Cricetulus griseus: one gene and its partners. The protein of the gene in region 2 purifies or fractionates together with the protein of the main gene of each other region. This does not show direct contact. Links are inferred from orthologs where the notes say so. Each region holds a gene or a part of one and is shown on either strand. Other genes may lie near its edges.

Evidence for each region.
Region 1: the proteins of Cdk9 (region 2) and Paf1 purify together in Homo sapiens (affinity purification with western blotting; 3 studies listed by BioGRID and IntAct, with this or other methods). This does not show direct contact. The link is inferred for Cricetulus griseus from reciprocal best matches to the Homo sapiens genes CDK9 and PAF1.
Region 3: the proteins of Cdk9 (region 2) and Ddx21 purify together in Homo sapiens (affinity purification with mass spectrometry; 3 studies listed by BioGRID and IntAct, with this or other methods). This does not show direct contact. The link is inferred for Cricetulus griseus from reciprocal best matches to the Homo sapiens genes CDK9 and DDX21.

The regions. Positions count from the first base shown.
Region 1 is NC_048602.1:7,490,963-7,493,444, reverse strand, and holds part of Paf1 (RNA polymerase II-associated factor 1 homolog), read left to right. Parts: intron 1-36; coding exon 37-158; intron 159-243; coding exon 244-310; intron 311-382; coding exon 383-484; intron 485-572; coding exon 573-678; intron 679-753; coding exon 754-822; intron 823-901; coding exon 902-1,005; intron 1,006-1,622; coding exon 1,623-1,739; intron 1,740-1,823; coding exon 1,824-1,952; intron 1,953-2,482. UniProt on the Homo sapiens protein: Component of the PAF1 complex (PAF1C) which has multiple functions during transcription by RNA polymerase II and is implicated in regulation of development and maintenance of embryonic stem cell pluripotency.
Region 2 is NC_048599.1:144,422,024-144,426,415, reverse strand, and holds the start of Cdk9 (cyclin-dependent kinase 9), read left to right. Parts: upstream 1-1,444; 5' UTR 1,445-1,545; coding exon 1,546-1,637; intron 1,638-2,099; coding exon 2,100-2,181; intron 2,182-3,485; coding exon 3,486-3,576; intron 3,577-3,823; coding exon 3,824-3,990; intron 3,991-4,081; coding exon 4,082-4,253; intron 4,254-4,343; coding exon 4,344-4,392. UniProt on the Homo sapiens protein: Protein kinase involved in the regulation of transcription.
Region 3 is NW_023276806.1:274,619,041-274,622,689, reverse strand, and holds the end of Ddx21 (nucleolar RNA helicase 2), read right to left. Parts: intron 3,015-3,649; coding exon 2,970-3,014; intron 2,293-2,969; coding exon 2,041-2,292; 3' UTR 193-2,040; downstream 1-192.

The DNA of each region.
Region 1 (2,482 bases), on a different chromosome or scaffold from region 2:
ATCAGGAAATTATAACAGGCATGTTTTCCCACCCAGGTTTGTTCAGTACAAAGCAACTTCCTTGGAGAAACAGCACAAACATGACCTTCTGACTGAGCCAGACCTGGGGGTCACCATTGATCTCATCAACCCCGACACCTACCGCATTGATCCCAATGGTGTGTGGGGAGACAGGGAGGGTCTGCTGTAGGCCAGCAAAGACCAGGCCTGGGCATCCCTCACAGTCCTGCCCTCAATCCTTAGTTCTCCTGGATCCAGCTGATGAGAAGCTTTTGGAAGAGGAAATTCAGGCTCCCACCAGCTCTAAGAGGTGAGGTGGTGCCGGGTACTGGGTGGGCTCTGCCAAGCATGGGATCCTGAGGTGCCTGGTCTTCTACTCCAGATCCCAGCAGCATGCGAAGGTGGTGCCATGGATGCGGAAGACAGAGTATATCTCCACTGAGTTCAACAGATACGGTATTTCCAATGAGAAGCCTGAGGTCAAGTAAGTGACAGACAGGTTGTAAAGGGAGGGCAGGGGCCAAACTTTAGAGATGCCCAGAGGCCCCTAATGACCTTCTCTTCACTCCTAGGATTGGGGTTTCTGTGAAGCAGCAGTTCACAGAGGAAGAAATATACAAAGACAGGGACAGCCAGATCACGGCTATTGAGAAGACTTTTGAAGATGCCCAGAAATCGGTAATTGGGGGAATGGGATAAAAGCAAAAGTGTGGCTTGGGTTTTTCCTGTTTCTCACCCTTTTTGTTCTACCAGATCTCCCAGCATTACAGCAAGCCCCGAGTGACACCAGTGGAGGTCATGCCTGTCTTCCCAGATTTCAAGGTCAGGCTTGGGTGGGAGGCAGGGGCAAACTCCGTATGCCTATCCAGTCCAGACTAACTTCAGTCCTTCTGTTTCCCAGATGTGGATCAACCCTTGTGCTCAGGTCATTTTTGACTCAGACCCGGCCCCTAAGGACACGAGTGGAGCAGCTGCACTAGAGATGATGTCTCAGGCCATGATCAGGTCAGTGGTCCTGGTTCTTGTTGTCTCTCCCCCATTTGGGTGTATTTGAGATAGGGTATGATCCTGTTGCCCAGGCTGACCCCCAACTCCTGGCATTCCTCTTGCCTCAATTTACAGGCATGCATCACCATACCCAGCTGTTTTTGTTTTTTTCCCTTTCGTGTTTTTTTTTTTTTGGGGGGGGGGGGTTTCGAGACAGGGTTTCTGTGTGGCTTTGGATTGATCTCATCAACCCCGACACCTACCGCATTGATCCCAATGGTATGTGGGGAGACAGGGAGGCGAGCCTGTCCTGGAACTAGCTCTTGTAGACCAGGCTGGTCTCGAACTCACAGAGATCCACCTGCCTCAGCCTCCGGAGTGCTGGGATTACAGGCGTGCGCCACCAACGCCCGGCCCTTTCGTGTTTTTTGAGATAGAGTTTCTCTGTGGAACAGTTCTGGCTGTCTAGCTCAAGGTTTCTCTGTAGCTTTGGATACTGTCCTGGAACTTGCAGACCAGGCTGGCCTCAAACTCATAGAGATCCACCTGCCTCTGCCTCCCAAGCCCTGGGATTGAAGGTGTGCGCCACCACTGCCCTCTTTGTTACTTCTTTGCTCTCTTCTCCCCACAACCAGGGGCATGATGGATGAGGAAGGGAACCAGTTTGTGGCTTATTTTCTGCCTGTGGAAGAGACACTAAAGAAACGAAAACGGGACCAGGAGGAAGAGATGGACTATGCACCAGATGATGTGTAAGGGTTTAGTTTTTGGGAATTGAGAATATGTACCCTTTACTCCTCAGGAGCAAATGGGCTGACTCTGTGCCTCTACCTCAGGTATGACTACAAGATCGCTCGGGAATACAATTGGAATGTGAAGAACAAAGCCAGTAAGGGCTATGAGGAGAACTATTTCTTCATCTTCCGAGAGGGCGATGGGGTTTACTACAATGAGCTGGAGACCAGGTACTCAGCACTGTTTTATGAATCTGGCCCTGTATTTACTTTTTGGGTTTTTTTTTTTTTTTTTTTTGAGACAAGAGTTTCTCTGTGGCTTTGGAGGCTGTCCTGGAAGTAGCTCTTTTAGTTTTTCAAGATAGGGCTTCTCTCTGTAGTCTCTGCTGACCTTGAACTCACTCTGTAGACCAGGCTGGCCTCAAACTCAGAGATCCACCTGTCTCTGTCTCCTGAGTGTTGGGACTAAAGGTGTGCGCCAATAGTATTCTTCTGGCTCTGTGTTTTTGAGGCCACAGAAGAACTACCCTGAGGTCATTATGTACCTAAGGATCTGCTGCATGTACTTTGTGAGAGCAGCAGGAGCCTGCTTATGAATGTGGGCTTGACCTGACTCTGGTTCTAATACCATAAACCAGAAAAAAAAAAATCTTTACATAACACAGGATATAAACATGGTCATTTTTCTCACACATGCTAGGCAAGTGCCCTGCTATTAAGATACATCCCTCGTTTCTACAGTGTTATTAGTTTTGTATATG
Region 2 (4,392 bases):
GGGAGGGAAGCTGCTGGAAAGGAGGGGCAGATTGAGAAGCTAGGAACACCGCTTTGCTGGCTTGCATCTGGAGGCTCCTGGAACCTGGAAGATGATGGCGGAGGAGGGTATGACTGGAAGGAACTCAGGGCAAATGGCGGATATCAGTGCATAAGAACAAAGGGCCTCAAGTGTACTGTAAAAATGAAACATGAGAAACCTCTTCATAGCTAAAGTCAGCCTTGCCACTGTTCAACCTTGAGCAGACAACCTCCTATTTCTGAGTTGCCATTTCTTCTGTAAAATGGGTTAGTAAACCTTGGTCACAGGATAGGTTCAGGATTCAACCGGAACGCCCAGCATTTCTAAAGCATGCAGGAGTGCTGGATCAATGGTAACTATTTTTGCGAGGACCGACCCGGGACGAACAAGCTCTAGAGCAGCTCCATGAAGGAGGGTCTTGGGTCTCATCCCTGCCTCGCAGACAACACAAGATCCAGGGTTTAGGCCTGAGCGTTGTTCGCTCTCCGCCTCCAGTGTCGCCGCGCCCCCTGGCGGCCGTCAGTTGCCATGTCAACGGCGGGTGGCTGAGACGACGGAGGTGGCAGCGGGGGCAGTTCTCCCTTCCCAGGGCCTCGGGCCGCTCCCTCGGCACTTCCCGCCTTCGCTTCACCGGGAGCACACTCTCAGTCCGGGAAGAAGGGGCATTCCGTGGCAGCTGGCACTGGGGGGTAAACTGAGGCACGCGGCAGGGCGCCGCAGGCAGGTGTCTAGTGCAGGGCCCCACCTCCAAAGGCAGAGGAGGGGCTGTGGCAGTGACGCGCCGAGGGCGGACGCTGGACTGGGAGCGGGTGGGCGGGAGGCGGCGCGGCGGCGGGCGGCAGGTGCGGCCGCGGAGGGTGGGAGGAAGAGGGAGGGGGCGGGCAGAGGGGAGGGAGGCCAGGACGGGCACCTCCCCCCTTATAACGCGCCCCGATCCGGGCTTTCGGGCAGACTCCTCGTCGGCTCTCCCGTCTCGACCCCTTGCCCGGCTGCCCCGGGCCGGGCTTGGACAGGGAGCTCCCGCCCCCACCTCCCCAGGCCTTCCTCCCCACCCGCCGCCCCGCGCAGCCCGGCGGAGGCGGCGCCGTCGGAGGAGGAGGAGCAGGGCACTGCGGCTGGCCCCGGATCGGGAGCCAGAGCGGCAGCAGCTTCGGCAGCAGCGCGGCCCGGGCCAATGCAGCGGGACGCACAGCCGCGAGCCCCAGCCCCAGCGCCACGGCTCCCTGCGCCCCGATCGGAGCCGCTAACAGCGCTGGCGGCGGCGGCGGCGGTGGCGGCGGGGGCAGTGGCGGCGGCGGAGGCTCCTCTGCAGCTCAGGCGCCCCCTGGCCTCTCGGGAACTACAAGTCCCAGGGGGCCTGGCGGCGGGCGGAGACAGGAAGAGGCAGGCTCGGCACCTCGAGGCCGGAAGTGGCCTTGGAGGCGGAAGTGGCGCGGCCGCGGAGGGGCCTGGAGTGTGGCGGGACCGGGAGCGGCGGGAGCTGCGGCTGCGGGCGGCGGCGGCGGCGGCGCGCTGGAGGCGGCCATGGCCAAGCAGTACGACTCAGTGGAATGCCCGTTTTGCGATGAGGTCACCAAATACGAAAAACTTGCCAAGATCGGCCAAGGCACATTCGGGTAAGAGTAGGCCGCATGGGGCCGGGAGCCCAGGACCTGCACTTTTCAGAGCAGAAGTCGGGACGCCCGGGGCCTGGGCCAAGATGGTCCTGAAGCTTCTCTTTCCCTGGTTATGGCCTGGTGCCGCTAGGCAGAGCCGCAGACGGTCCCGGCCTAACCGAGCGGACCAGCGGGGAGGAGCCTGAGGCCCGGGATGGGGGTGGGGTAGGGTTGCCGAGAGGCGCCCAGAATGTGAGCGGAATCTCTCAGAGACACTCCTGGGGGAGGATCAGGGGCCGCGGGGAGAGCGCGGAGCCTGGGAGGGAGGCCGAAAACCACGAGGTGCCGAGTAGCGGCGTACCGGAGTCTCAGGCGGCGCCCAGCCGAGTATCTGGCCTCCTGCTGCCCCTGTTCGCGTGGGGGAGGGGCGGGTCCTGCGGAAATGCCTCACGGGTTCTCTCGGGTCTTTCTCTGTGCCTGCAGGGAAGTGTTTAAAGCCAAGCACCGTCAGACGGGCCAGAAGGTGGCTCTGAAGAAAGTGTTGATGGAGAATGAGAAGGAGGGGGTGAGTATGGTTTACTAGGCATTCCTTCCTAACTGTGTTTCCACATTCCTGCGTCAAAGACTTTGGTGCTGAGATTTTGTTAATACCTAGTGTTCTGCGATTTTCCATGTAACAAGGAATTTGGCTTACCACTTTCAGTTTTGAGTGGCAAAGTTTGGCGGAGGCCACGTGAGGGAGCGTATACTTTGCATGCAGTGCAGGTTGACTCTAGAAGGCAAGCCTTTAATTCAAACGTCTTTAGCGCCGGGTGTGGTGGCACACGCCTTTAATCCCAGCACCTGGGAGGCAGAGGCAGGCAGATCTCTGTGAGTTCAAGGCCAGCCTGGTCTATAGAGTGAGTGCCAGGATAGGCTCCAAAGCTACACAGAGAAACCCTGTCTTGAAAACCAAAAAAAAAAAAAAGAAAGAAAATCCTTAGCTTAGCGTTTGATTTTTGTTCTGTGTGAAGAGACAGTGTGTGCACAGGTCTTTGAAAGGGTGACTAAGTTCAAGGTGCTGTTTTGCTGCCCCTCTCCAAAATCTGGGTAGTTTGTTTTCATGCGTGTCTGTGTACAAAAGCTTGCCTGCTGCTTGAGGAGGCCAGAAAGCTGTGTTGAATCCTTTGGGACTAGAGCTAAAAAAGGTTGCGAACCACCATGTGGGTGCTGAGAATTGAATCTGTGTCCTCCAGCTAGTGTTTTTTGTTTTTGAAATAGGGTCTTTGCATGAGTTTTGTTTGTTTGATGTAGGATATATCTGCTTAGCTCTGGCTGCCCTTGAATTCACTATGTGGAGCAAGCTGACCTCAAACTCACAGAGATCCAGCTGCCTCTACTGGGATTATAAAATGCTGGAATTAAAGGCGAGGGCCATTGGCCATCTCAGTTTCAGGAAATTTCTTATCTTAACCCACAAGTGTTAGTAACAGACTTAAAATCTGTGTTTGGATTGTCTAAAATGAATTCCTAGCCCAGCATATAGGCTTCTTATTACAATCCCTGGACTCAGGCTAAAGGACTAGAATTATTCACAAAACAAGTTCAAGGCCAACCTGATCTAGATGGTAAAATGAGACGTTTGTATTACTATAAATCTTTATATTGTGTACTTGTAATAGTATGCAAATCTTTTCTCTCCCCACCTCCCGAGGCAGGATCTCAACTATGTAATCCTGCTGTGTGTACTCCTGGGTAATGGGATTGGATTGCAGACAGGAACTATTACACAGAAACCATACTGTTGCTTGCCTTTCAGCCTCAGCCTCACCCTCAGCCAGTTCCTTGGTCCTTTGCACACTCGTTTTAACCACTTTTTCTCCTCCTTAGTTCCCTATTACAGCCTTGCGGGAAATCAAGATTCTACAGCTCCTGAAACACGAGAATGTGGTCAACCTAATTGAGATTTGTCGAACCAAAGGTGTGTTTGGATCTTGTGAGCAAATGAGGTTTACCAAGTAAGGCTGTTTGCACCCCTGAGGTGGATGTGCTTAAACTGCCTCTTCCCCGCTCAGATTAACCACACTGCTTCCTCTGGTCTTTTTTTTTTTTTTTCCCTTCATTGGAGTTGGTGCTTTTCGTGGGTATCTGTGGGAGGGTTGGAAGTTGGCTATGAAAAAATTAGGTGGGTATAGGTCTTTGACCTCTCCCCCCCCATTCTGTATCAGCTTCCCCCTATAACCGTTGCAAGGGCAGTATCTATCTGGTGTTTGACTTCTGTGAGCATGACCTTGCTGGGCTGCTGAGCAACGTCTTAGTAAAGTTCACGCTGTCTGAGATCAAGAGGGTGATGCAGATGCTGCTGAACGGCCTCTACTACATCCACAGGAACAAGGTGAGGGCTGGGAAGGAACTGGGGTTGCCACTGTCCTTTACTGCTGTGTGGATGGGTAAACCTGACTGAGCTCTCCTGTGTCTCCCTGCAGATCCTGCACAGGGACATGAAGGCGGCCAACGTGCTCATCACCCGGGATGGGGTCTTGAAGCTGGCAGATTTTGGGCTGGCCCGTGCCTTCAGCCTAGCCAAGAACAGCCAGCCCAACCGCTATACCAACCGAGTGGTGACATTGTGGTACCGGCCCCCAGAGCTGTTGCTCGGTGAGGACTCTTGAGCCATCATCCCTGAGACATCGAGTCTCAGGAGACCCTTGGGTTTAAAGAGCCCTCCTGGTACACTTTTCTTCTCAGGAGAGCGGGACTACGGCCCACCCATTGACCTGTGGGGTGCTGGGTGCAT
Region 3 (3,649 bases), on a different chromosome or scaffold from region 2:
ATTTTTAGGAGAATTTAGCTAAGGCTAACCTTTCCCTGATCTGCCCGCTTCTACCTCCCCAATGCAATATGCATGGGAGGCAAGCCTCTACAACCTTAGCCCCAGGTTTTACTATATTTTTATACCTAACAGTCATTGTTATAATAAAAATGTCACACTATTTTCAGTTTAGCAAACAAAAGCCACCAAAACTATAAAGCATTAATATCTTTATTATGGCATAATGCAGTACTTTATACAGTAGCAACTCATTTGAATGTAAAAACATTTTATGTACAATGGCAGGAGAAACAATAGACAGCTTGAACATATAATCCAAAAGTCCAGAGTTATTTGAAACTGTAAAATATTTTCTCTGTAGAAAATAGTAAAAAACGATAACATTTTCCAATAACCCTATTTAAGCCAAGTAACAGCTGAATTATACACATAAATAGTTTAGATTCTAGGACATAGAAGAAACCTATATTTGTTCAGAGAGCTATGGTTTACTTATGGTGTGTAAATGGGATTCCTATTCATCTTCTCATTGCTTAGCAGATCATTTTTCTACAGGCTAATCCAAAAAAGGTTTCAGCCCCTCCTTCTGAAAGAACAGCCAGCATGTCCTTTCATCAGCTTGATACGGCATAAATTCTTATCCTAATAGTGAAATGTTTCACTAAAGCATGCCCAGTAATTGGGCAAAAGCAAAACTAATTATAAGATAGTCATCAACCAAGAAAGTATTCAAAAGAACTCCAAGCACAGAGGACAAGAACCATCTATCTGGTCAGAGCTCAAGGGCAAAGCTGAATCTGAAGTGGATTTGGTGATCAGAGCCCTTTGGTGCCAGGTGTTCCATAAGACCCGATAGGTGGCAGTGCTCACACTAACATCAAATTCATCTCATTCAGAAGATCCATCTCAGTTGATCTAAACAACCAGAGAAAATGCAGCAGCGTGTGATTCTGGTTGTCCTTCAAAGCCTGTTGCTTCCCTGTACAGAATCTCTATGAAGGCAAGAGGACCCCACCACATGAACTTCTGTGCTAGGTAGGATGGTTCGCCAGAGGAAGAACACCAGAGAACGTGGGCAGTTATTACTGGGCCAGGTACCATAGAGTTCTTCAATTCCAGCAAATCAACAACTTCAAATGGTGTAGCTTGTCTTAGAATTCTCTAAGCGGTGTTAACTTTTCCATGGAAAAGCAACCCACCAAAACAGATCTTCATTGTGGCTTAAGATCTAGGCCACTGAGAAAATCGTCCCATTTTTACCCTTAAAAACTAGATTGCCCACTGGTAGATACAGTCCCTTGACTCGTGGTCAGCATTCAAAGCAAGCTTCCTCCCTCCTGCCTGCCTCCTCACTTGTGAAGATGAAGAACATTCTTGTGGCTTCTCTGAAACATTCTTTGGTAATACCAGCCAGTCTCCCTCTTCTCTTAATCACTTCTTGATAAATCACTCTTCCAAAAGAAAGGCACAAGCAGATAATACTTATCCAGTCTTATCTCTGCCGAAAAAACCTAGAGACTTCACACACTTGGGACTTAACTTTAAAGACACTGGCTCCCATAAGAATGTTTTATATACACTATCTGAAATAGCTTTGGAAAGCATTGTTCAGTATCAAACCTCAGCAGACACATACAGACACCAGCAGTTGTTTGTCAGGTCAAGTATCAGGGGGAAGAAAAAGCCCTGACTATGTTGTCCTCCAAAGACTGTGGCACCTCTTAATGACTTTCTTTGGAGTTTAGAATTTAGTTGTAGGGCATGTGCATGCTCAGTTCAGGCTCTAGAGCACGCACAACACACAAAGATGAACTTGCAAAGTCAACAAACAAGGACAGGCAGATCCGTGGTTAGCTTTACTTCACTACTTTGGAAAATGCTGCAGTGAATTCCTACCCCTCTTCAAAATGAAGACAGTTGATGATGGTTAGATCAAACAGTTGCAAAGCCTGTCTCTGCAAGGATTGGGGCCCGGGCAGATGATCCAAAAGGAAGGAAGCATTGGGCTCCACAGTGTGAATAGTTTCTTCTAGTCTCTACTCATGGACCAAATGCTTTACTGAAACTCCGCTTCTGGCCTTTGTTGTCACCTCTGAAGTTTCTATTTCCCCCTCTTCCTCCTCGCTGCCCCTGTCCCCTGAAGTTCCTGCTTCCACCCCGCTGTCCTCTAAAGGCACCGCGACTGCCATCCCGCTGACCCCTGCCGCCTCGATATCCTTCCTTGGGTCCCTCCAGCTCCGGCTGCTCCGTGGCCACAGTGAGCTGCCAGCGTCTTGAATCACGCCACTTCTCCTGTGGGTAGAAGGTTTGTTCCATGGTTTTATTAAATTTGGTAAAACTACAAGAAAAACTTATGTTTCCAAGAAACAAGTTGCAAACAGGTGATTAAAAGGCTGCTAGGACAAATAAATAAATAAAAAAAAAGCCGGGCGTTGGTGGTGCACGCCTTTAATCCCAGCACTCGGGAGGCAGATCTCTGTGAGTTCCAGGCCAGCCTGGTCTCCAGAGTGAGTGCCAGGATAGGCTCCAAAGCTACACAGAGAAACTCTGTCTCGAACCCTCCCCCCCCCAAAGCTGCTAGTGGTTCTTTTCCGCCATCTCTCTGATGAGGCAGACAGATCTGTCTTTCCTCCCTCTCTCTCCCTTTCCATGAAAACAAAACAAAAAAGCTAGTATAAGGCCCCAAAGATGTGTGTGGACCTGTGGAGAGGTGGCTCTCACTCTGCAGTCACTGCAGCTGTCTGAGGCACACACTCGTCACAGCAATGCCAAGTGCACAGGAAAGCATTCAGCATAGAGTAGTGGGCCAGACGCTGGGTACAACTACAGGGAGGAGCAAGGCAGGCCAGCAGCAAGGTCACAAAAAAACAGTAAGGCTGTTTGTTCTTTGTGGCCCGCACTGTCACTCTGCTTTCAGAATGAATACTGTATGATCTGGGTCTACCAACACTAAAACAAAAAAGAAATACCTGTATTTCCGTGACTGCTTCAGTGCGGACATCAAAACAAACTCCCTAGAAATCAAAACAGGAAGAGTTAATCCAGCACCAGATACTGCCAAACACAAAGAAATCTACCACGAAACCAGCAGGCACTGATGTTGGATGGAACATGGCTAACATGCTCCTGAAGACAACAGCAGGAGGTGAATGATTCAGGACATGCAAGTGCCTGAGTAGGTATCCTGTGCTAACCCATATTCAGGAGGACACAATGAAAAGCAGAAATTACATTTCTGATTTCTAGTTTTTCATAATTCAGTTTTCTGTGAGAGCATGAGAAAATGTATATAATTTACGCTGTAAGTTCTTTGATAAGCACTTTCCTTATCACTCTGGAAAAGCCACCAACTAGCACAGTACCAAATTACTACTATAATGCAGTTTGAGCTACACACCTCCCCACCCACCCACAGGCACAGATATCAGGCAGGCGCTTAAGGGCCCTAAAATTTGTGGGCTTCTTCTCCATGCATGGGGAACTCCAGGAACACTGGGACATTCAGGTATCTAGAGAACTTTTGCCCTTGAGTAGGCCTCAGGGACTAACGCCTTCATTGTAAGCACTCAAGAGGGAAGGAAAATTCAACAGGGCGAATATTATGCCCTAAGAACTCTGTCATACAGGTTAAGAACTCATCTAATTGTGT